7 linked regions of the Callithrix jacchus genome follow. The protein of the gene in region 4 purifies or fractionates together with the protein of the main gene of each other region. This does not show direct contact. Links are inferred from orthologs where the notes say so. Each region holds a gene or a part of one and is shown on either strand. Other genes may lie near its edges. The genes, in order: RNPC3, SNRPA1, MEPCE, SNRPF, CLNS1A, SF3B1 and TUT1.

Region 1 (3,500 bases), on a different chromosome or scaffold from region 4:
TCTCCATTAAACCTCTTTCCTTTGTAAATTGCCCATTCTTGGGAATGTCTTTATCAGCAGTGTGAAAACAGACAAACACATTAGCTTTTATAATATTTACAAATCACAACTCTCTCTTTTGCTTTCACAAAACTGGAAGCCTTGCTAATGTAGTTCTTTTAAAAGATTACAATTTACTGTCAGAGTGAGAATCTAAAAAGGTTTGCTTCATTGCCATATACTCCTGGAGGATTCATTAAAAGAATGGGTTTCAAAGCATAGTCTTTACCTCAGAAGACTCAGCATCATCCAGCAGCTTTTTAGAAACACAAATTCATGAGTCCTATCCATGAAACCTAGAAAATCAGACTCTCTGAAGATGGGCCTAGAAAACTGTTTTGCCAGGCTCTCGAGGTGATACTTATGCAATGTTAAAGTCTGAGAACCATGGATTTAGAGAGATTAGGGTCAGAATGTATTACAAGGCCTGTTTCTGTAAAGAGCTTTATTAGAACACAGCCATGAATATTTGTTCAGGTTTTATTTGTGGCTGCCTTCGAATTCAACTACAAAATTCAGTAATTCCAACAGACACAGTATGGTCTGCAATAAAATAAAAATATTAAAATTTTGCTATCTGCCCATTTACAGAAAAAGTTTGTCAACTCCTATTCTAGACATCTAAAAGATTATTCTAGACCAACTTTTGCAAATATTTTTTTATCTCTAAAAGGAAAATGCTGGGATTAAAATAGTGGTAAATTTGTAAGAGATAAAAAGAAAACATAATTTAATATCATAATTTACTGTCACTTACATGATCCGCTGTGTTTCTGATGAAAAGTCAACATATCTTCCAAAAATATATTTAAGGTCCTAGAATTTCAATAAGAAAAAGACAAATAACAAAGCTAGGGAAAAGAACTGTTAATCAATCAGTCGATCAATACATCAATAGAAGAGGTCATACGGGACTAAAATAGGCTTTAATCTAATGTGACTGTTGGCCTTTCTAAAGGGGAAATTTGGGCATAGATACATAGGGAGTACACTATGAAAAAACAAAGTCAGAAATTGTCGTGATGTTGCCACAAGCCAAGGAAGGTCAAAGACTGCCAGCTTCAGCATAATAGCAGAAGTTATGGGAGAGGATCAGACAGATCCTTCCCTCCCAGCCCTCAGAATGAATCAATCCTGCCATACTTTTGACTTCAGTTTGCCTTCAGAACTGTGAGACAACACACATCTGTGTTTCAGACACTTGGCTTGTGGTACTTTGTTACGGCGGCTCTAGAAAATTAATACATACCCCAAACTCTGTCTCAGTATTTACTGCTAGCTATGCGAATATCATTTTAATAAACAATTAACCTGAAAATACTAAACAATAATTTGACATGCCCTGAAGCACAGTAAAAAACACATTCTTATAGGTAGTTTCACCAGACTTTAACATATCAAGTATAAAACCTTCAAATTGTTTTCATTTACATGAAAAAAAATTTATACCTACCTTTTCTTGAACATGTTTAGCTAAATTCTTTACATAAATTCTACAGTTTGGTTCACCAGGTTCATAACTTCTGAAAACTGAAAGTGTTTCCATTTCTTATTAAGAAACAAAAAAACAAAAATATAAAATTAAAATATTTTAGCCAAGTTTTTAAAGATAATTATAATATTCAAATACAACTGTTAAATAGACAAAATAAGCTTTAGGAAAATGTTAAAACCATAAAATTAGTAACAATATTACAAATTAGTTTAAATATACTCACTGAAAATCTGAATTGATTATATATAAAAAAATTAACTTTTGATTTACAATTTCAGGCATCTAGAATAACTAAACTAAAATTTGTCCAATAAAATATCTACTATTAATGGTCCGTTAAGATGAGTCATGTTATAAAAAAGAGTAAAGCATATATGTTATCAATTGATTTGGGTAATTATTTCACCTAAAGTGAATTTTCCAAACCATCAGCCATCTCCATATTTAAATACAAGAATGAACTAAACATAGTATCAGGCATTTCGGACAAATCATGGCCCCAGAACCCCTGTACAGCTCCTCCCATTTAATGTCAGTAGTCTGTTCTAGAAAACTAAGATAGACGGTTTTGTATAAAAATCCTAGTTGGAAGTCTATTTCCCTTCACTGTAGGAAAAATTACACAGCAATCTAAAGCCTCTAAATATTTTCTGACAAGGTACTAAAAAAGTAAAAGTCTTTGGGAAGTAGAAAACTATCATGTGAGAATATAAAATACTCAATCATAGATTTCTAATCACTATTTGTTTTTGAAATAATTGGTTTGTATGTATCTCAGACACAGTATTTGTTGACAGTCTATCAGCTACATTTAGAATATATAACTCCAGACCTGTAGGACACAGTGACTTAACTTAAATGCCACATAAAAATTTTAGGAATGAAATCAAAAATTTTTTCCAAATATAGACTGGAAACACTGTAGGAGAACGAAAGCCTCTCCCCACCCCCATTAAGTATGAGTATTTAAAAAAAAACAGAAGAGGTGATGACAAACATTAACTGGAAAGATTTAAGTATGTGCCTTAAATTAAGGTAAATGACATGACAAATTGTTTAGTTTCTGCAGAGTCAAAGATATGTAAAATGGAATATGTGCTTAGTTTATTCCATGACATTACCTTCTCTAGAAATTCTGCCCTTTTCCAATTCCCTTCTAGAAATACATTCTGATGGCATTTCATCAGAGTCTTCTTTAATTTCCTCTGTGATATTCAAATTAGGTTTGGGGAAGATTTTTCCGAATCCTATATTGGATGCATCAACTTCAGTAGCAGGTATATCTAAGAATTCAGAGTTAACATTAGCCATTAAGAATCTCTCCTTTAAAAACAGTTTTTGGGTTCCCCCCTCCTATTTTATATTTAATAATATACCTTTTGGCACAAATTCTTTGGTGTTTTTCAATATACGGAAAGATGCATATGCAAATTTTTTCTATAAAACTCCAAATAGTAAAAAAAATTGTGTTAGGCCAGGAGTGGTGGCTCACACTTGCAATCCCAGCACTTTGGGAGGCCACGGTGGGGCGGAGGGAATCTGAGTTTGGGAGTTCAAGACCAGCCTGAACAACATGGAGAAACTTCGTCTCTACTAAAAATACAACATTAGCCAGGCTTGGTGGCCTATGCCTGTAATCCCAGATACTTGGGAGGCTGAGGCAGGAGAATTGCTTGAACCTGGGAGGTGGAGGTTGCTGTGAACAGAGATCATGCCATTGCACACCAGCCTGGGCAACAAGTGAAACTCCGTCTCAAAAAAAAAAAAATTATGTTTAAAGGGTGACTAACCATGATGTAAGAAAAATTTATAAAAAAAAAAAAATGTTAAAGAAAACATAAAAAATGGAGCTATCTGAAAAGGCACTAAAAAAAGCACCAGATTCTCACTCACCATGCAAAACAGGAATTAAAACTAGTCAGTTTTTCACTCACTATGTTTGCAATACTTACTAGAATTCTATCCT
Region 2 (3,504 bases), on a different chromosome or scaffold from region 4:
AGATTGGATTACAACTGTCGTGGCTAAGGGAGATCGGAGATGGCAATCAAACAGTAGTGTTCTTCAAACAGGAGTGAGTTCCACCCCTTTCAACAGCAAACATTCTTGAAGACTCGCCATGCGACCTTTATGTTAACTACGTACATATCTAAAACTAGAGGGTGGGTATGGTGGCTCAGGCCTGTTCTTCCAGCACTTTGGGAGGCCAAGGTGGGAGGATCACTTAAAGCCAGAGTTGGAGAGCAGCTTGGGGAAGAAAAAAACCTCGAAAACAACCCGTAACCAGGATAAGTGGGACACACTAATCAATTCCAAAAATGGAATCATTTCAGTGTCCTATCAGAAGACGGAGCGACAGGCAAGTCTGTATTAACATGAGGGCTACATGGGAGTAGAAAAGGTGGCCTTACTGGCATGTTCATGACACTGCAGGAGGTGGACTAATCTGAGGAAATGCTGCCCTCCCACATTTACAAATGAAACACATCCTTAGACTTCACTGCAAATGCACCGTGATGACACACAACTCGGCAGCACACCGAGTGTTTATTTTTATGACTTGTAGAAAACTGACATTTAGATTTCAAAACTTACATTACAAAATTATCAGCAGCAGTCCTAAGTATTTCAGCAACGCTGACACATTCCACTTTGCTAACACAAACAAGGCTATTATCCCATGTTTGAAAAGCAGGACTTGTTCCAAGAGGGCCTATTGCCACACATCTGCCCCACCGCTCAGGACCCGTTTGTGACGGTGTCTTCTTCCATCTCTTCTTCACCATCATCAGTGGGTCCTAAAGAAAACCACAAAACCGAAAGTAGAATCAGTTTTAGAGAATCTATCTCCTTGGCATGTGAGTGCTTGTTCCGTGGCCCCTGTTTCCTAGGCACTGAAGCAGGTCCAAACAGATCAAAAGCAGCCCCTGCCTTTGGGGAGCCGATTGCCCAGGGACAGTCTAGTCTGTCTTTGGCAGGTACGGGACGAGATGATCAGTTTCAAAGGAAAAGGGTCACAAAAGTTTCAGAATTGCCGCCTCCCACTGTAGTTGACGATAATTCATTCTTGTGAAGGTAAAAAGTCTACATTCGTGTGCTTTTCATGGCACTACCATAGCAAAGAAACTGGAAATACTCAAAAGCCTTTGGGCACCTTCTACACACCAGGTATTGGCAACAGTTCAATGACTTTATTGTCTCTAAATTGGGAAAATATGGCAACAATTACCAAAAAATGTTACATTTGTTCAACAATTTATGGCAGATATTTTGATCAATTTCTTGGGGGGGGTGCGGGGGCGGGGAGTCGTAACCCTTTCATTTGCTTGGGGAAATTAGGAATATCTGACTTAACACCAGTCAGCTGGATTACTGTATTGGCTTCATCAGTCCAGCCCTTGCAATATGCTATTTTGATTGACGAGCATGAAGAAAATTTGGCCACACAGGTATATAGTTAGAAAAGGGAGAGGACCATTCCAGGCCGGGCGTGGTGCTCATGCATGTGATCCCAGCACTTTGGGAGGCTGAGGAGGGCAGATCAGGAGGTCAAGAGATCAAGACCATCACGGCCAACCTTACCAATGAACTTTTCATACTTTATCTTGTACTTTGAACAAAATCTTGTACCTGTACATGATTTTGTATCATTTGGAAAACAGAGGTTCCCGGGTTTTGCAGATCTTCCAAATGTTGAGACATTTAATTACACATCAAAAATGTCACACCCACTAATTCACATGCATTAACATGACTACTGAGTTCCCCAGAAAAGTCTTTTAAGTACTGGGAAGCTGGCAGGTTAGAGCAGTGGATACAAGTTTTCCAAATTTTAATTTTTGCTTGAAATCTTAAATTTTCAATTGTTTTCACTGAAGTACAGGCTCATTTCATCGTGTTTGAGAAGACAGCTAGAAGACAGTTAACAGCTGCCTCTCAACTGAAACGACAGCCCAGTGCATGGAGATAGCCCCCCAACTCAAGTATGCAGACAATGCAGATGTGTACCACTATTCTCTCACCCAGAATATCAGACGTGTGCTTGAGGAGTGACATTTCATAATCTTCACTGCTGCATCCAGAACACTCTTACGTGAAACTGGTATGCATTCTACTGGGAGCGCAGAGCAGAGAAGAATATAACAACTATTATTTAGCCCGCTGCCTTGATTCCTGCTGAGGTGCCAGCAGTTCTACCTCCTATTGCTCCAACAGTGCAAATGTTCGTACGAAAAGTAGTTACACCTTGGTGTATCCGATAAAGAAAAGTCTTGATCTTACGGACTCTCAGAGGCCTACAAACCATACAGTAGAAAATCACTGTTCTTAAAAAATGTCTTTTTCATTTTTAGCTCCCAGCTCAAACATTATTTCCCTAGAAACTTTCCCCAAGATAGCAGTCGAAGTAGAGGTCCCCAGTTACATTCATATCAAAACTTGTAAGATGTATTTCAGTATTTTTTGATATCCCCAGTGCCCCACCTGCTGCCCAGCATAAAGCAGGCATTCAAACAGCAGAATAGCTACCACTTATCAAAAACTCGCTAATGTTGAGCCCTGCGCTAAGTGCAGTCTCCTAGGCCTCTCGGCAACCTTCTGAGGTTTGGTACTATTAACGCAGATTTAAAGATGAGAAAACAGACTTGAAAAAACTTGTCCAAGGGCAGAGCTGGTGAAGCTAAGATTTGGGCCTCAGACTGCTTGGCTCTAGAGCCCGTGTTCCTGACTACTGAGCTATTATGCACACACACAGATACAGATAGGCAAACGTCCACATGGCTATCTCCAGTGTTCAGTTCACTCCATGGCTGAAATAATACTAGCTTCAACTTCTACATAAAACCCCCACAGCACTATGACTTAGCTTTCTTCATCCAGTACTTTATCTTCAAAGAGCATTTACAGGGATTTCATGTATTAGATGTGATGTAAGGAGGCACTGTTCCAGCATTCTGGAGTCATAACATCCAAATGGTTATGAGAGTCACACCGAGTGTAACACTAATTTGAACGGACAAAGAACACCGTTTGCTCACCCGATCTGCGTTCTCTGCCAGGAATCTGACCAGACTGCAGCAAGCCCTTCAGCCTCTCCACTTCAGCCAGAGTTGAAGCATTTGCTATAGCATTCTGGAGGACAGAGGGCAATGGAGATGGATAATTAACTTCAACCAAGTATCAACTACCCAGAAAACTAAGTATCAATCACCTACAGAAATTCACAGCAACTTCTCCATTTGGAACATTAAACACTTTGGTGTTGGGGGAAGAATGTTATTGGCATACAGAAATAAAACTAGAAGCCAAATCACAAATTTCCAAAATTGGGTAAGAGATGCGGGCCCTCTTATAAAAGAGAGCAAATAATCACTCCAGATGTCCTAAAACTGTAGCTAAATGAAATAACTATTTGAATTATTTGAAAAACTATTTGAAGAACTACTGAATAGTTTAAGGAGGCAACATTATAAAACTAGGGTCCCTACTGATCAGCCAAAATTATTT
Region 3 (2,823 bases), on a different chromosome or scaffold from region 4:
CATCTCTTCCCTTTTATAACCCGGAAAGGTGATCTCTCTACCTTGGGGCCTTGACCCTGGAGTCCTTTCTCATGACCTCAAGGGTCTCCAAAATAGAGGAGGACTTTTTTTGCCCAGCTCCTGGCTTGGCCTATAATCCACACTGGTCCACCTTCCCTTTAAGGCTGCTGTTACTGCTCACTAGGGGATTCAATCCAGCTGGAACTTGGTCCTCAGATTTACTGAAGAAGCCTGAGAATGGGAGTCAGGCATGGAATGTCTTCTGGGGAGATTAGGGTAGCGGCAGACTAATACTGGCATTTCTGCCCATTGATAGAGACCTTGTTCTCATCAACAGCTTTTGTTTTCCTAGACAGTTTGTTGAAGAGTGTCAGGAACCCAAGTGGCTTGGCTGTAGATCCTCTCCACACTGACCCTAGATAGTAGGAGAGGGAAGAGCCAGAAACTACACAGAGAGGAGAGTCCCATGCCCACCACAGTGTCCCCTGACTGCACACAGCTCTCGGAAAACATCCCAGTTAGGCCGTCTGCTGGGATCTTTGGCATTGTGTTGGGTTAAGCCTGAAGAATGGTCTTTCTAGAGGGCTGTGATGAGCTTATCTTCTAGAAAAGGTTTCCTGAAGGATGTGGCTCTTCATATCTCTCAGAGGAAGCAAAGAATAGGCCTGAAACTTTGCCAACCCCAACTGCAGAGAAGGAACCACAGGTCTGCCTGTGGTTTGAAACCTGGGTTAGTTAGTTATCCTTGCAACTAATTGCAGTCATTCCACCTAAAGTCTGTGGGTGAGAATAAGCACGGGATAGGGTCCTGGGACCTCAGCTTTGGAAGACTTCATGGATAATTTGCACCATTTAAAATTACCCAGGCTCCCTCTAGACGTTTTTTGGCTTACACCAGTAGGAAGAAGCAGAGGCCAGGAAGGTGTAGAGGAGAAAACAAAACTCAAAGAGGGCCCCTTTTGGGAGTTAGTCTGAGAAGAATATGACCATGGGCTAAAGTGAGGCTACAGGACTGTGTGTCGGCCTCAGGGCAGGTTGCCTGGAAGCAGGGGTTCTTTGATTCCCTCTGTTGACCTCACTGCCGATTCCTGCCCCCAGGGTAATTACGTGCTGGATCGAGATGACCTGGTGGAAGCCCAAACACCTGAGTATGATGTGGTGCTCTGCCTTAGCCTAACCAAGTGGGTGCATCTGAACTGGGGAGATGAGGGCCTGAAGCGCATGTTTCGCCGGATCTACCGGCACTTACGGCCTGGGGGCATCCTGGTCCTAGAGCCCCAACCCTGGTCATCCTATGGCAAGAGAAAGACCCTTACGGTGAGTTGGATGTGATGGAAATGGGGAATAATCCTTTGGTTGAGGCAAGAAAAGGCCTCAGGGAATAGAGAAGGAATTTCTGAACAAGGTGAAAAGGCCCTCCGGCTGGGCATCACTCTTGGCCATGGGAGGTGGCCAGCATGCTAAAGTGGTCCTTTGCTTCTCTCCTTAGGAAACAATCTACAAGAACTACTACCGAATCCAGCTGAAGCCAGAGCAGTTCAGTTCCTACCTGACATCCCCAGAAGTGGGCTTCTCCAGCTATGAGCTTGTAGCCACACCCCACAACACCTCTAAAGGTAAGGCTGGTTTATTTTGTTGGGAAGGCTTGTCCTGACTGATAGAGTTCAGATCCCATGGGGAGGTGCTGCCAACCCCTTCTGATCACTGTCTCTCCCCTCAGGCTTCCAGCGTCCTGTGTACCTGTTCCACAAGGCCCGATCCCCCAGCCACTAAGTGGCCCCTTGAACAGAAAGTGTGAAGAGGCTGCCTTCGCTGCTCATAAGGACCTGGGGGAAGAGGAAAGCGTCCCAAGGTCTTTCCTTTCTGACTCCAAAAATAGTTTTCTTCTTGGATCTGCAAAGAAAGCTTTTCTTCCGTCGCTGCCGCTGCCTCAGCCTCCTCCCTACGCCTCTGACACTTGTGCAGCAAGGCTGGCTGTGCTGGAGTCCCCATCTTCCTCTCCCACAGCCTGCCAGGCTGGATGGCATGGACTGTTTGCTGACCTCTGTTCTCCTAGGGCATGGGAGGTGGAAGGATATAAAATTCTCTAGCCCTTTCCTCCTATTCTCCCAAGGAGAGAGATTCCCATATCTCAGCCCTTTTCCCTAGCTGCATTTCAGTGGACCATGGATAGGTGGACTGAAGGTTAGAGGGGGAAGCCTGGTAGGGAGGCACGAAGGTACTGTGAAAATCTTTCCCTCTGCTGTCCCCCAGTGGGAGAGGGGGTTGGGTTTTGAATGTGAGAACAGCACAATAAACTTGATGTCTAGGGCAGTGGCCCCCACACTTGTGTTGGGTATTTTATAGCTGGTGGGGAAGACGTGGTGCTTCCTCTTCCGTCTCAAGGAAGACAATTTTTCAGTGGCTGGGTTGATTGTTGCATGCTAGCCAAGTCCACACAAAAGTACACAGAAGCCTAGAAAGGCAAAGTATGTAATGCAAATTTTGGTGTGTAACTTGGAGTCTGCCTTCTCTCCCCAAAAAAGCCCTGTGAGGGCCTTGGGCAGAAGGCTAACTCTGATTTTTGTTTTCCTGAGATGGAGTTTCACTTTGTTACCCAGGCTGGGGTGTGCGATCTCAGCTCACTGTAACCTGCGCCTTCCAGGTTCAAGCAGTTCTCCTGCCTCAGGCTCTGGAGTAGCTGGGATTACAGGCCACAAGCCCAGCTAATTTTTTGTATTTTTAGTAGAGTTGGGGTTTCACCATGATGGCTAGGTTGGTCTCAAACTCCTGACCTCAGGTGATCCGCCCACCTCAACTTCCCAAAGTGCTTACAGGCGGAAG
Region 4 (2,245 bases):
ACTTTTTTCTCCTTAGTAAACAAACCATATGCCTTCAGCCTAAATGTCGGTTCCCAATTTCCGTTGTGCCTTGTCTGCACAATCATTTTAATTTTTAGATGTTTCAATTTTAGCTACAATATGTGCATTTAGCTTATACTGACACAGAAGTAACATGTAATTTTACTAAGTAAAATAAGACAGTACATTAATACCAAAAACATGTTTAATTTTATACATGTTAAAAGTGGCTCAAAAATAACTTTAAAAGTTGCATTTAAAAGGTCTCAGCTAAGATATAATTTTACAAGAAAAGGTCTGAAATTCACCTTCATAAAAATATCTAAAGCATATAAATAACTATCCTTTATAGAAAAAAAAAAGAGTATCAAGCTTATAAAAAAAAGCAACTTAAATAAAATTCAGTGACTTTTAAAGCATTAGTTTTGTGAGTAATCTTTCCCAATTGGTTCAGCATTTGGGCTTTGCTGGTAAATATCTGAATACAAATAGTTCACAAGTCAAGAACAAACAAATCTTTATTGTCTAGAAATATATATATATAAAAAAAAATCCCAGGGGCTGGGGTCAGGAAAAAAAAAAAATCCCCCACAAAATATGCTATTCTCTCATTTCCCCATCTTCTTCCTCTTCTTCCACACCTCTGATATAAAGGACATTATTACACCTGTAAATAGAAAAAGTCCATTTTGTTGTTTCAACCAGAATCCATGTATGATCTGAATTACTATATTTTTTATTATGAAAATACTGAATGCTATATTTATAATATTCCTGTCTTTCAAAAAATATATATTTGTTTTTAAAAAACGTTTTACATAGATAAGTTGAAAAGCACATGGCACTGATTTTCAACCATATGGTTGTTATAAAATGATATCTTTATAATTTTCCAAGGGAAATAATTATCAGAATTTGGAGCTTTGAAGCTAGTACAAAAATTCTTACAAACAGCCAGACCCAACTAAAATTCAAAACTAAGTGCCTCCAATGAAGGCCACTGAAAAAGGTTATATAGCTAAGAGCCAGAAAATTTAACATCAACACTAGAAAAATCTTTTGGCCAGTTCTAAAGCATTTTAAAACTTATCTTTGACAAGTTTAGCAATTTCAAAGACTTCTGAAGTCCAATTGTAAAGTATTATAAGTTAATAGTGATTTTTTAAAAATAAGTAACTCCAAAATTGAGGCTCTAATATATTTAAAACAGGTATTCCTAATGCTCACCAGTAACTCCTTACATATACCACTGCTGTTTTTTACCTTATTAAAACTTCACCCAGATGTCCAGACAATGCTCCATCTATGTATTCTTCTGTATTTGCAAGCTTTCAATAAAAAGAAATATATTAGTATAATCACACAGGAGGAAAATATTACAATACAGCTAATACTGTGAGAGAACTTATTAACTGATACCTTTCTACACCAACAACTCAAATCTATCTATAATTAATAAACAGAAGATGAGCTTTCTATTACTACTGTAGGACTTTTGGTTTCATATAAACCTTCAGTAAAATTAACATTCATGGATGTAGAACAAATATATAATAAAGCTTGTTTCAACATAAGTTTCTGAATCTCCCAGGTTACGTAATATTTCAGATATCAAAACTGTGTGGAAGCAGTCTCTAATTTATGAATAAATTGTGATTAAAAAGTTTTCTGAAAATTCATTCTAAAGCACCAAATGTTGTTTTCTCAGAGTCAACATTATAAATCATACTGAGGTGTCCAAATGGGTTACAAAAGCTATGGCTAACATGCCAAATACTTTCATATTAGGCAACATCCAAAGCAGGTAATTAAGTAAGAATTTTCTTCTTTTCTTGCCTTTTAAGAAACAGGGTCTCACTCTGTTGCCCAGGCTGGAGTGCAGTAGCACAATCATAGCTGACCAAAACCTCGAACTCCTAGGCTCCTCCCACGTCAACCTCCTGAGTAGCTATGATAGAAAGCATGTGCCACCAAGCCTGGCTACTTCAAAACAATTTTGCTATATTGCCCAAGCTGGTCTTGAACTTCTGCCCTCAAGTGATCCTCCCGCCTTGGCCTCCCAAAGTACTGGGATTATAGGTATGAGCCACCACATCTGGCCAATGAATAATAATTTTTTTAAAATTTTGTACTAATAAACAGGGAAAAAGAAGTTCTTAATAGAAAGTTAAATAGTTAAGTTTCACATTTACAGTTATTTTGTTGAACTCTTATTATTTCTAATTTTATATCAAAATGTTTAGTT
Region 5 (3,500 bases), on a different chromosome or scaffold from region 4:
CACTGCACTCCAGCCTGGGCAACAGAGTAAGTCTCCGTCTCAAAAAAAAAAGGTAACATCTTGGCTGGGCATGGTGGCTCACACCTGTAATCCCAACACTTTGGGAAGCAGAGGTGGGTGGATCACCTGAGGTAAGAAGTTCGAGACCAGCCTGGTTCAATATGGTAAAATACCATCTCTACTAAAAATACAAAAATGAGCCAGGCATGGTGGCGCATGCCTGTAATGCCAGTTACTCAGGAGGCTGAGGCAAAAGAATCTCTTGAACCCAGGAGTTAGAGATTGAAGTAAGCCAAGATCATGCCACTGCACTCCAGCCTGGGAGACAGACTAAGACTACGACTCAAATAAATAAATAAAAATGACAGAATCATGGCCAGGCGCAGTGGCCCACGCCTGTAATCCCCAGCACTTCAGGAGGCTGGGTTGGGCAGATCACCTGAGGTCAGGAGTTTGAAACCAGCCTGGCCAACGTGGTAAAACCCCATCTCTACAAAAATAAACAAATTAGCTGGGCATGATGGCAGGTATCTGTTAATCCCAGTTACTTGGGAGGCTGAGGCGGGTGAATGACCTGAACCTGGGAGGCAGAGGTTGTAGTGAGCAGAGATCATAACAATGCACCAACCTGGGTAACAGAGCAAAACTCCGTCTCAAAAAAATAATAATTAGTGTATATATACACATAAAAGAACACAAATAAAACTGAAAGAATATGCGACAGAAAATTAACAGTAAATACCTCTCAGAATTATTTTTGATTTTTTTCTCTCTCTTCTTTGCCTGAGCATACTTTCAAAATTTTTGACTAGGAATAGAAAGTATTTTTGTAGACAGAAAAGAAACACTTAAAAAATTACGTAAGAGCCAGATGCAGTGGCTCATGCCTATCATCCCAGTATTTTGGGAGGCCAAGGTGAGTGGATCACTTGAGGTCAGGAGTTTCAGACTAGCCTGGCTAACATAGTGAAACCCCATTTCTACTAAAAATACAAAAAATTAGCCATGCATGGTGGTGCATGCCTGTAATTCCAGCTACTTGGGAGGCTGAAGCAGAAGAATGCTTGAACCCAGGAGGCAGAGGTTGGATTGAGCTGAGATCGTGCCACTGCACTCCAGCCTGGGCGACAGAGCAAGGCACTACCTCAAATAAACAACAAAAAATTACATAAGAATGTCTATTCTATATAATTCTACATTTACTCCCTCTACTATAAAGAGTTTATTCTAAGATTTCTCTTAGTGTTTTGGATTATGTCTCCCCAAGTCCTAACTTCCAATACCTCAGATATGATCTTATTTGGAGAGCTTTACAGAGTTAATCAAGTTCATGTGAGGTCACTAGAGTGGGACCTAATACAATGTGACTGGTGTCCTTATAAGAAGGGTGTGATAGGACCAGCCATGGTGGTTCATGCCTGTAATCCCAGCACTTTGGGAGGCCAAGAAGGGCGGATCACCTGAAGTTCAAGATCAGCCTGGCCAACATGGTGAAACTCCTCTACTAAAAATATAAAAATTAGCTGGGCATGATGGCAGATGCTGGTAATCCTAGCTACTCAAGAGCCTGAGGCAGGAGAACTGCTTGAACCCAAGAGGCAAAGGTTGCAGTGAGCCAATATCATGCCACTGCATTCCAGCCTGGGCAATAAGAGCAAAACTCCACCTCAAAAAAAAAAAAAAAAGATGTGATAATTAAATTTACGCATCAACTTGGCTAGGCAATGGTACCCAGACAGTTTGTCAAACATTATTCTAGATGTTTCTGAGGAGGTTGTTTTTTAGATGAGATTAGCCTTATAAACTGGTGGATTCTGGGTGAAGCAGATTGTCCTTGATAGTTTGGTGGGTCTCACTTAATCGGCTGGAGGCCTCAAAAGGAAAAAGATTCACCTCCCCTAAGCAAGAAGAAATTCTGCCAGCAGAATTTCTGTTGCAGCAGAATGCAGTATCAACTCTTCCCTGGGTCTCCAATCTGCAGGCCTACCCTGCAGATTTTGGACTTGCCAGCCTTCAGTCATGTGGGTCAATTTCTTAAAATCTGTCTCTCTCTTCACTTTGGTAGGTGTGTGTATACCTGAAGAGACGCCTGAACCAACAGCCCTCAGAGATAATCTACCACGGACTTCTAGCCTCCCTAACTATGAGACAATAAAATTCTACTGTTTGAGCCACCCAGCCTGTATGATACTTTGTTATAATAGCCCTAGCAAACTAATACAGAGATTCAACAGAAAAGGATAGCTCTCAGTTAGAATTATACTTGTTTTATTTTTTTCACTTCTACTTTGCCTGTGCACATTAAAAACTTTTTTTTAATGAACAAGGACTACTTTTCTAATGAGAAAAAAAAATCACTAAAAACAAATGACATAAGAATTCCATACTATATAATTCTATATCTGCTTCCTATAGTACAAAAAGTCAATTCTGAGATTTCTCTTAGAGTTATTAAAAGAACTTCTATGACTATCCATTAACTTAATGGCCAAGTGCCCATCTAACTAATCACACTGAGAAAGGACACTCACCTTCATAATCTCTTATTGAATCTTCTGTCCTGACCCCAGCCATATTATACTGGCTGCTCACGGACTGAGAAAGCATTCCTTCTAATCTCTCCAATGTGGCTTGGCCTTCTGCTGTTAGATGGGATAATCCTTCTTCATAGGTGTAAAATGTAGGGATATCCCCCTGCCCTTGTTCTAAACAAACAGAAAACTTCGAAGCTATTATACAACAATTAGAAAAAACAAAATGGATAATTATACATCTGCTGCCAGGGTGGCCAACATACTGAAACCCTGTCTCTACTAAAACTACAAAAATTAGCCGGGCATGGTGGTGCATGCCTGTGGACCAGCTACTCAGGAGGCTAAGGCAGGAGAATCGCTTATACCCGGGAGGTAGAGGTCATAGTGAGCTGAGATCACGCCATTGCACTCCAGCCTGGGTGACAGAGCAAGACCTTGTCTGGGAGGTAGGGAGGAGGCATCTGCTGAAGATAATGTACAGTGAAAATAGGTTTCCAGGAAGATAGTTTTCAACATTTATTTAAGCACATGTACAGGCTACTACTGAAGACAGAGATACAAAGAAAACGTCCCTACCCTCTAAGATTATCAAAAGAAGTAACGAGCCAGTAAACAGCAATTCCCAAATAATCCCATGTCCAGGGACTAGAAGGAAAAAGCATGTTCCTAAGGTCAGGGAGTCCTACATTATCCTGAGGTGGGAATTTTGAGCACAACTTAATTTATATAATGAAGATTTTTTCTAATTAAAAAACATAATCCTAAATTTCTGCTTCATGGGTGCGACACCATAAAACACAGTTCACTATTCAAGAATAAATGCCTATTTTTAAAAAAATACTCCTTTCTTAAAAAAAAAATCAGGGCCAGGTGCAGTGGCTGATGTCTATAATCCCAGCACTTTGGGAGGCTGAGATGGGAGGATTGCTTGAGCCCAGGAGTTCAAGATCAGCTTGGGCAATACAG
Region 6 (3,182 bases), on a different chromosome or scaffold from region 4:
GCTGCCTAGACTCACCCCCATCTTAAAGAACAGACATGAAAAAGTACAAGAGAATTGTATTGATCTTGTTGGGCGTATTGCTGACAGGTAAGCAGATTACCCAAACATTTTTATAAGCAATATCAGTTTTCAAGTTTGGCCACTTTTTATTCAATTAGCAAAATTTTTTTAATGTCACTAATATAAGTGTATATGATTAGGCTATCCAGTATTAATATTTTCAGTCAAATTTCATTTTGGATGGTAATGGGGTGGCAATATAATTTTAAGACTAAACCTTTAAGACTAACTCTAACCTTTCTGAAGAGTAATAACTTTTATTTAATGCTTAAAATGAGCTAGCAATCATGTTTTTAGAACTGAATTTGCAAATTTACCCTTAAAACTTAATGTCACAAAAATTAATATGTGTATTTCTTTTTTAATTAGGGGAGCTGAATATGTATCTGCAAGAGAATGGATGAGGATTTGCTTTGAGCTTTTAGAGCTTTTAAAAGCCCACAAAAAAGCTATTCGTAGAGCCACAGTCAACACATTTGGTTATATTGCAAAGGCCATTGGGTGAGTGTTATTTACTTCCATTAAAAAAAAATTATAGTAAATCCGTTGTGGTGTTGAAATCTCTTTTGAGGCATGGTCTGAGTAATGCAGTTGCAAAAGCACTTCATTTAACCGCTGACCTTCTGATTATTGGAATGCATTCTTAAATTCAATTCTTTCTTTTTTTTTTTTTTTCTTTTCGAGACAAAGTCTTGCTCTGTTACTCACTGCTAGAATGCAGTGATGTGATCTGCAACCTCCACCTTCTGGGTTCAGGTGATTCTCCTGTCTCAGCCTTCCCAGTAGCTGGGACTACAGGTGTTGCACCACCACACCTGGCTAATTTTTTGTATTTTTTAGTAGAGACGAGGTTTTTACTATGTGGGCGAGGCTGCTCTTGAACTCCTGACCTCAAATGATTCACCTGCCTTGGCCTCCCAAAGTGTTGAGATTACAGGTGTGAGCCATTGCGCCCAGCCTGTAGTCTTAAATTTTTAATTGAATTAAAATAAATTTACTTTAATTATATGTTAGGTATTTTCAGGGAGAGAAACAGTACCATTTTCAGAAAAATTTTAAATGTGTATTGGTTTTTTGGATATTGCTTAAACTATAAAGGCAAGTTTTTAATCTTACAGCATCATTTAAGTCTCATATTGAATGCTCTGTGTTTTAAAAATTTTATTATGGATTGCTTGAGCTTAGGAGTTCAAGGTTACGGTGAGCTGTGATTGTGCCACTGTACCCCAGCCTGGGCACCTGGGCCCAGGACAAGACCCTGTCTCTAAAAAAACAACAAAAATGCTATTCTAACATTAATCCACAGATTTAACTGAATTATAGCTGCTTTGTGAAATAATCTGTGGTTGTTTACTTCCACTCCATTACAACTAAAGTGGGAAAAAGCAGTCATTATAGAAAACGAGACACTGCGTGTTCATGTGGCTTAAGTAAGAAAATGTTTTTAAGGAATATGACATGCGAATGTCTGATTCCTTAGTTAGAATTAACCAGACCATACTCTCTCTCTTAACACATACTCATTCCTCTCCTATTTTGGTAGCATAATATTTATTTTAGTGGTGATGGAGTCAAGAAATTTGCAGCCAATAGCTGTTGTGCAAGCTTTTAGCCTCAGTGTCCCATAAGCTTATGTCAAAGAAGAGGTGAATAGATGCAGCAAATTGTGTGGGAGGGAATATGAAAGGAAAAAAGATTTCATATGGTTTATAGTGGGAGACTGCAATTTGGATACTCATACCTAGTTCTAGTGCCCATTTTGACAACTCAGAGAATTACTCACTTTAAACATTTACTTACATTTCTTTATATATCAGAAAGTTTAAAGACTGAACATTGAGAATTAATTTGAGTTAACTTAACATTTTTAGAATTCATACAGCTATGGCCTCTGATCTCAGAGTTAACTTTTAAAAACTGATCTTTTAATTTATATGAAATTTTCATATAGAAACAACAATGCCAGTGACTTGAAAATACTGCATTTTTATCATAAAATTACTGAGCTCCCTGTCATTAGTATTTAAAAGTTTTCATCCTCATGCGTTTTTTTCTTCCATAAATTTTTGACTTATGGAAATCAAAGTTCGACTTATTATTGTTGACCCATTTGTTTTTTTTCAGCCCTCATGATGTATTGGCTACACTTCTAAACAACCTCAAAGTTCAAGAAAGGCAGAACAGAGTTTGTACCACTGTAGCAATAGCTATTGTTGCAGAAACGTGTTCACCCTTTACAGTACTCCCTGCCTTAATGAATGAATACAGAGTTCCTGAACTGAATGTTCAAAATGGAGTGTTAAAATCACTTTCCTTCTTGTTTGAATATATTGGTGAAATGGGAAAAGACTACATTTATGCTGTAACACCATTACTTGAAGATGCTTTAATGGATAGGTAAGTGACTTGAACTAAATACAGGAAAATAATTATAACTCTTCCTTCATTTTAGAACATCCTGAAATAGTTATTAGATGACTTTTCATTGTAATGTAGATAAAGAAAAAAATGCTAGCCTGGAGTCTTAGGACATTGTAAATATGACTTATTATTTAAAATAATGTGCACATTGTAGTGATTCTCCAAAGTTTCTTTCAAGTTCCCCACCTCCCTTTAAATCTCTTTTCATATCTGTTGAACTACATTTTGAAAAGGGTTGATAATCTTTTGTTTTCAAAATTGGTCAAATATAGTTACAGGAATTGATGAGCAGGAGCTAGTCAGTGTGGCAGAGACCTGATGTTTTTTAGCTTTTTATTGTAGGTAAAGCACAGATTTCTCTTAAGCTTTCGAATTACTGAACATAGTCTGACAGAGCTGCACTCTTCCCATTGCAGATCCCTAGTGTTTCAGATGGTGACCACCAGTACAGTACTGTTTGAGTTATTTGACAGATTCCTAATACCTTTTACCATCTAGACTGATATTATAGCCGTAAACACAAAAGTAACTGAAGAAAGTGCAAAGGAAAGTGCAGGCATAGTAAAGGAAAGAACTGTTTAACTGGCTCTGTATTTTTCAGGAGAGATAAGTTACTCAAATCAGAGCCCATTCAAATACTTTTGTGTATAAATTAAAGTTATTCATTAATGACCTGAAAGGGAGACTTAAATGGACTCATC
Region 7 (3,500 bases), on a different chromosome or scaffold from region 4:
CGCCTTGGCCTCCCAAAGTGCTGGGATTACAGGCGTGAGCCACCACACCTGGCCTAGAATACTACTTTCAAGGGATATAGAAAAGAGTTCTATGGTTGAATAAATGTGGGAAATTCCAAATTAGATGCAAAAAGTTTTCTCCATTTCTTCCCTCCTCCCCTCCTTTCTCCTTTCCTTCCTTCCTCTCTCCCTTCCCGTCTTTGTTTCTTTGCAGAGTAAAGGCTCTGGGCAATCCTTTTTTTTTTTTTTTTTTGAGATGAGATCTTGCTCTGTCACCCAGGCTAGAGTACAGTGGTGTGACCACATCTCATGAGCAGTCTTACAATAATGTGCTCTGTGAATGTCCAGGATGGGTTTACAGGATGAAGTGTTTCCCGAACGCGTTTGTCCTTTTGCACACTCTCTCACAAGCTCAGTGTTTGAGCAACATTTGGGGAAACTCTATTTTGGCCTTATTCCAGCTGGCCCGTTATGTAAGTCTGGAATGAAAGTGCGGGGTGGTAGGTTCTGATGTCCCCAAGCCATAACACCCTTGTCCCTGCTTTGTCCCAGGCTGGCCCTGCATAACTCCCGTTTCCTGAGTCTCTGCTCTGAGCTGGATGATCGAGTCCGGCCCCTCGTGTATACCCTCCGCTGCTGGGCTCAGGGCCGGGGACTGTCAGGTGAGAATGAATCAGGACAGGCTTGGGGCTGAGTTGGTGTCAGGAAAAAGGCAGGGATTCTGGGCGAGAAGGTAGGTCCAAATGGGCACCGGGGTTGAGAAAACTGCCAATGAGGGGATTGGAAGCACCTCTGATCTAACCAGAATTATTGCTTATTTACCTAGGGAGTGGCCCCCTTCTTAGTAACTACGCCCTGACCTTGCTGGTGATCTATTTCCTTCAGACCAGGGACCCTCCTGTGTTGCCTACTGTGTCCCAGCTCACCCAGAAAGCAGGTACTCAGCCTAGCCTCCACCCTCTCCATCTTGTTAGCTTCCTCTCTCTTATTCATCACATTTAGACCCCAAAGCAGCTCTGCAAATGAGATCTCTGCTATCACTCTCATTTCTACCCCACCCTCAATCTCCCTGCTTCCAGACTGACTCTCACCTTTTTTACTTTCACAGGAGATGGGGAACAGGTGAAAGTCGATGGCTGGGACTGTAGTTTCCCCAGGGATGCCTCGAGACTGGAGCCCAGCACAAATGTGGAGCCCCTCAGTGAGTTTGGGGAGCCTGGTAGAGGACTAGTAGTGATGTTCATCAATAGTAGGTAACATCACACTGTGTGTCAGGCATGGTTCTCACAGAAAGCCTGTGAGATACCTAACACTATTACTGTCATTTTACAGATGAAGAAACCACGTTTTGGAGCAATTAAGTGGCTTGCCCAAGGTTACATGGCCAGCAAGAGGGAGTAGCATCTGGGAAGGACATCATGTGGGGTCAAGGAGAGAAGTTTGACCTCTTGTTACCTCTTGTTTTTTTTTGAGGCGGCATTTCGCTGTTGTTACCCAGACTGGAGTGCAATGGCATGATCTTGGCTCACTGCAACCTCCGCCTTCTGGGTTCAAGCAATTCTCCTGCCTCAGCCTCCCGAGTAGCTAGGATTACAGGCACGCACAACCATGCCCAGCTAATTTTTGTATTTTTAGTAGAGACGGGGTTTCACCTTGTTGACCAGGATGGTCTCGATCTCTTGACCTCGTGATCCACCTGCCTCGGCCTCCCAAAGTGCTGGGATTTTAGGCGTGAGCCATTGCGCCCGGCCTACCTCTTTTTTTTTTTGAGCCGCGTCTTGCTCTGTCGCCAGGCTGGAGTGCAGTGGCATGACCTCTGCTCACTGCAACCCCTGCCTCCCATGTTCGAGTGATTCTCCTGCCTCAGCCTCCTGAGTAGCTGGGACTACAGGCGCGTGCCACCACACTGAGCTGATTTTTGTATTTTGAGTAGAGATGGGGTTTTACCATGTTGGCCAGGATGGTCTTGATCTCTTGACCTCGTAATCTGCCCGCCTAGGCCTCCCAAAGTGCTGGGATTACAGGCGTGAGCCACCGTGCCTGGCTGACCTCTTGTTCATAGGGATCAGAGAAGTCTAGCTTCCTGGGACTCTGCTGATGCTGAGACCTTCGAAAGGGAAAAAGAAAGTCCTGCCAAGGAAATGGCTCAGGTGCAGGACCTGTCTCAGTTCTGGGCTCTAAATGACCCCCTTTCCCCACTTTTCCTCCTCTTCCAGGTTACCTGCTAGCCCAGTTCTTCTCCTGTGTCTCTTGCTGGGATCTCCGTGGCTCACTGCTGTCCCTGAGGGATGGTCAGGCACTGCCTGTGGCAGGGGGCCTGCCCTCTAATTTCTGGGAGGGTCTGCGCCTTGGCCCCATGAATCTCCAGGACCCTTTTGACCTCAGTCACAATGTTGCAGCCAATGTGACCAGCCGGGTGGCTGGGCGCCTACAGAACTGCTGCCGAGCGGCAGCCAATTACTGCCGAAGCCTCCAGTACCAGCGCCGTTCCTCCCGGGGTCGGGACTGGGGGCTGCTCCCCCTTCTGCAGCCCAGCTCCCCCAGCTCCCTGCTCTCTGCTACGCCAATCCCTTTACCCCTTGTACCCTTCACCCAGCTCACTGCTGCCCTGGTGCAGGTATTCAGGGAAGCACTGGGGTGTCATATAGAACAGGGAACCAAGAGACCGCGGTCAGAAGGAGGTGGAATTGGAGAGTCCTCTCAGGGAGGGACAAACAAAAGACTGAAACTAGATGGACAGAAAAAGAGCTGTGAGGAGGGGAGAGAGGAGCAGCAGGGAGGTGCAGGGGATGGCGGGGAAGACGGGGTAGAAGAGATGGTTGTAGAGGTTGGAGAGATGTCTCAGGACTGGGCCATGCAGAGCCCTGGGCAGCCAGGGGAGCTGCTGCTGATGACTGGCAATCATGGAGCCCCTGGAGAAGAGGGGCAGTCCAGCCAAGCAGCCCTGGCAGAGCAGGGGCCCAAGGGACATGAGGCAGCCTCAGGAGGGTCTCAGGGCGAGGCAGGGAAGGAGATATCCCTCCCCTCCTCGGTGAGCTGGCGCTGTGCCTTGTGGCACCGAGTGTGGCAGGGGCGGCGGCGAGCCCGTAGACGCTTGCAGCAGCAAACCAAGGAAGAAGCTGGAGACAGTGCTGGCACAGGAGCAGGGTGGCTGGCAACTGAGGCTCAGGTCACCCAGGAGCTGAGAGGACTGAGTGGTGGCGAACAGAGGCCAGAAACTGAGCCCCTGCTGAGCTTTGTGGCATCTGTCTCCTCGGCTGACGGAATGCTCACCGTGACCCCACTCCAGGATCCCCAAGGCCTATTCCCTGATCTCCATCATTTCTTACAGTTGTTCCTCCCTCAAGCACTTCGACATCTCAAGTAAAGACATGGCCCCTAAAGGGCAATAAAGCTGCTAGTTTCTTAATACAGAGAGTCTCCCATTTCATTTCCTTCTGGTCATAATCCTCCTTTCTCTACCTCAGAACTTCATGCAGCTGCTCGGCCCTGCCTTGTCG

What was found.
Region 1: the proteins of SNRPF (region 4) and RNPC3 purify together in Homo sapiens (co-immunoprecipitation; 3 studies listed by BioGRID and IntAct, counting the BioPlex papers as one, with this or other methods). This does not show direct contact. The link is inferred for Callithrix jacchus from reciprocal best matches to the Homo sapiens genes SNRPF and RNPC3.
Region 2: the proteins of SNRPF (region 4) and SNRPA1 purify together in Homo sapiens (affinity purification with mass spectrometry; 3 studies listed by BioGRID and IntAct, counting the BioPlex papers as one, with this or other methods). This does not show direct contact. The link is inferred for Callithrix jacchus from reciprocal best matches to the Homo sapiens genes SNRPF and SNRPA1.
Region 3: the proteins of SNRPF (region 4) and MEPCE purify together in Homo sapiens (affinity purification with mass spectrometry; 4 studies listed by BioGRID and IntAct, counting the BioPlex papers as one, with this or other methods). This does not show direct contact. The link is inferred for Callithrix jacchus from reciprocal best matches to the Homo sapiens genes SNRPF and MEPCE.
Region 5: the proteins of SNRPF (region 4) and CLNS1A purify together in Homo sapiens (affinity purification with mass spectrometry; 3 studies listed by BioGRID and IntAct, counting the BioPlex papers as one, with this or other methods). This does not show direct contact. The link is inferred for Callithrix jacchus from reciprocal best matches to the Homo sapiens genes SNRPF and CLNS1A.
Region 6: the proteins of SNRPF (region 4) and SF3B1 purify together in Homo sapiens (co-immunoprecipitation; 3 studies listed by BioGRID and IntAct, counting the BioPlex papers as one, with this or other methods). This does not show direct contact. The link is inferred for Callithrix jacchus from reciprocal best matches to the Homo sapiens genes SNRPF and SF3B1.
Region 7: the proteins of SNRPF (region 4) and TUT1 purify together in Homo sapiens (co-immunoprecipitation; 3 studies listed by BioGRID and IntAct, counting the BioPlex papers as one, with this or other methods). This does not show direct contact. The link is inferred for Callithrix jacchus from reciprocal best matches to the Homo sapiens genes SNRPF and TUT1.

The regions. Positions count from the first base shown.
Region 1 is NC_133508.1:142,404,921-142,408,420, forward strand, and holds part of RNPC3 (RNA-binding region-containing protein 3), read right to left. Parts: intron 2,818-3,500; coding exon 2,656-2,817; intron 1,588-2,655; coding exon 1,493-1,587; intron 856-1,492; coding exon 797-855; intron 1-796. UniProt on the Homo sapiens protein: Participates in pre-mRNA U12-dependent splicing, performed by the minor spliceosome which removes U12-type introns. U12-type introns comprises less than 1% of all non-coding sequences. Binds to the 3'-stem-loop of m(7)G-capped U12 snRNA.
Region 2 is NC_133507.1:8,696,297-8,699,800, reverse strand, and holds the end of SNRPA1 (U2 small nuclear ribonucleoprotein A'), read right to left. Parts: intron 3,130-3,504; coding exon 3,036-3,129; intron 798-3,035; coding exon 739-797; 3' UTR 501-738; downstream 1-500. UniProt on the Homo sapiens protein: Involved in pre-mRNA splicing as component of the spliceosome. Associated with sn-RNP U2, where it contributes to the binding of stem loop IV of U2 snRNA.
Region 3 is NC_133503.1:13,293,252-13,296,074, reverse strand, and holds the end of MEPCE (7SK snRNA methylphosphate capping enzyme), read left to right. Parts: intron 1-1,098; coding exon 1,099-1,317; intron 1,318-1,489; coding exon 1,490-1,616; intron 1,617-1,720; coding exon 1,721-1,773; 3' UTR 1,774-2,323; downstream 2,324-2,823. UniProt on the Homo sapiens protein: S-adenosyl-L-methionine-dependent methyltransferase that adds a methylphosphate cap at the 5'-end of 7SK snRNA (7SK RNA), leading to stabilize it.
Region 4 is NC_133510.1:98,945,661-98,947,905, reverse strand, and holds the end of SNRPF (small nuclear ribonucleoprotein F), read right to left. Parts: intron 1,329-2,245; coding exon 1,264-1,328; intron 668-1,263; coding exon 601-667; 3' UTR 501-600; downstream 1-500. UniProt on the Homo sapiens protein: Plays a role in pre-mRNA splicing as a core component of the spliceosomal U1, U2, U4 and U5 small nuclear ribonucleoproteins (snRNPs), the building blocks of the spliceosome.
Region 5 is NC_133511.1:62,980,129-62,983,628, reverse strand, and holds part of CLNS1A (methylosome subunit pICln), read right to left. Parts: intron 2,999-3,500; coding exon 2,900-2,998; intron 2,706-2,899; coding exon 2,532-2,705; intron 2,342-2,531; exon of another isoform or gene 2,245-2,341; coding exon of another isoform or gene 2,066-2,244; intron 1-2,065. Other genes in the region: AQP11 (aquaporin-11), read left to right, coding at 2,066-2,244. UniProt on the Homo sapiens protein: Involved in both the assembly of spliceosomal snRNPs and the methylation of Sm proteins.
Region 6 is NC_133507.1:118,360,301-118,363,482, reverse strand, and holds part of SF3B1 (splicing factor 3B subunit 1), read left to right. Parts: coding exon 1-87; intron 88-429; coding exon 430-561; intron 562-2,184; coding exon 2,185-2,457; intron 2,458-3,182. UniProt on the Homo sapiens protein: Component of the 17S U2 SnRNP complex of the spliceosome, a large ribonucleoprotein complex that removes introns from transcribed pre-mRNAs.
Region 7 is NC_133511.1:119,845,782-119,849,281, reverse strand, and holds the end of TUT1 (speckle targeted PIP5K1A-regulated poly(A) polymerase), read left to right. Parts: intron 1-552; coding exon 553-662; intron 663-826; coding exon 827-937; intron 938-1,108; coding exon 1,109-1,201; intron 1,202-2,216; coding exon 2,217-3,367; 3' UTR 3,368-3,413; downstream 3,414-3,500. UniProt on the Homo sapiens protein: Poly(A) polymerase that creates the 3'-poly(A) tail of specific pre-mRNAs. Localizes to nuclear speckles together with PIP5K1A and mediates polyadenylation of a select set of mRNAs, such as HMOX1.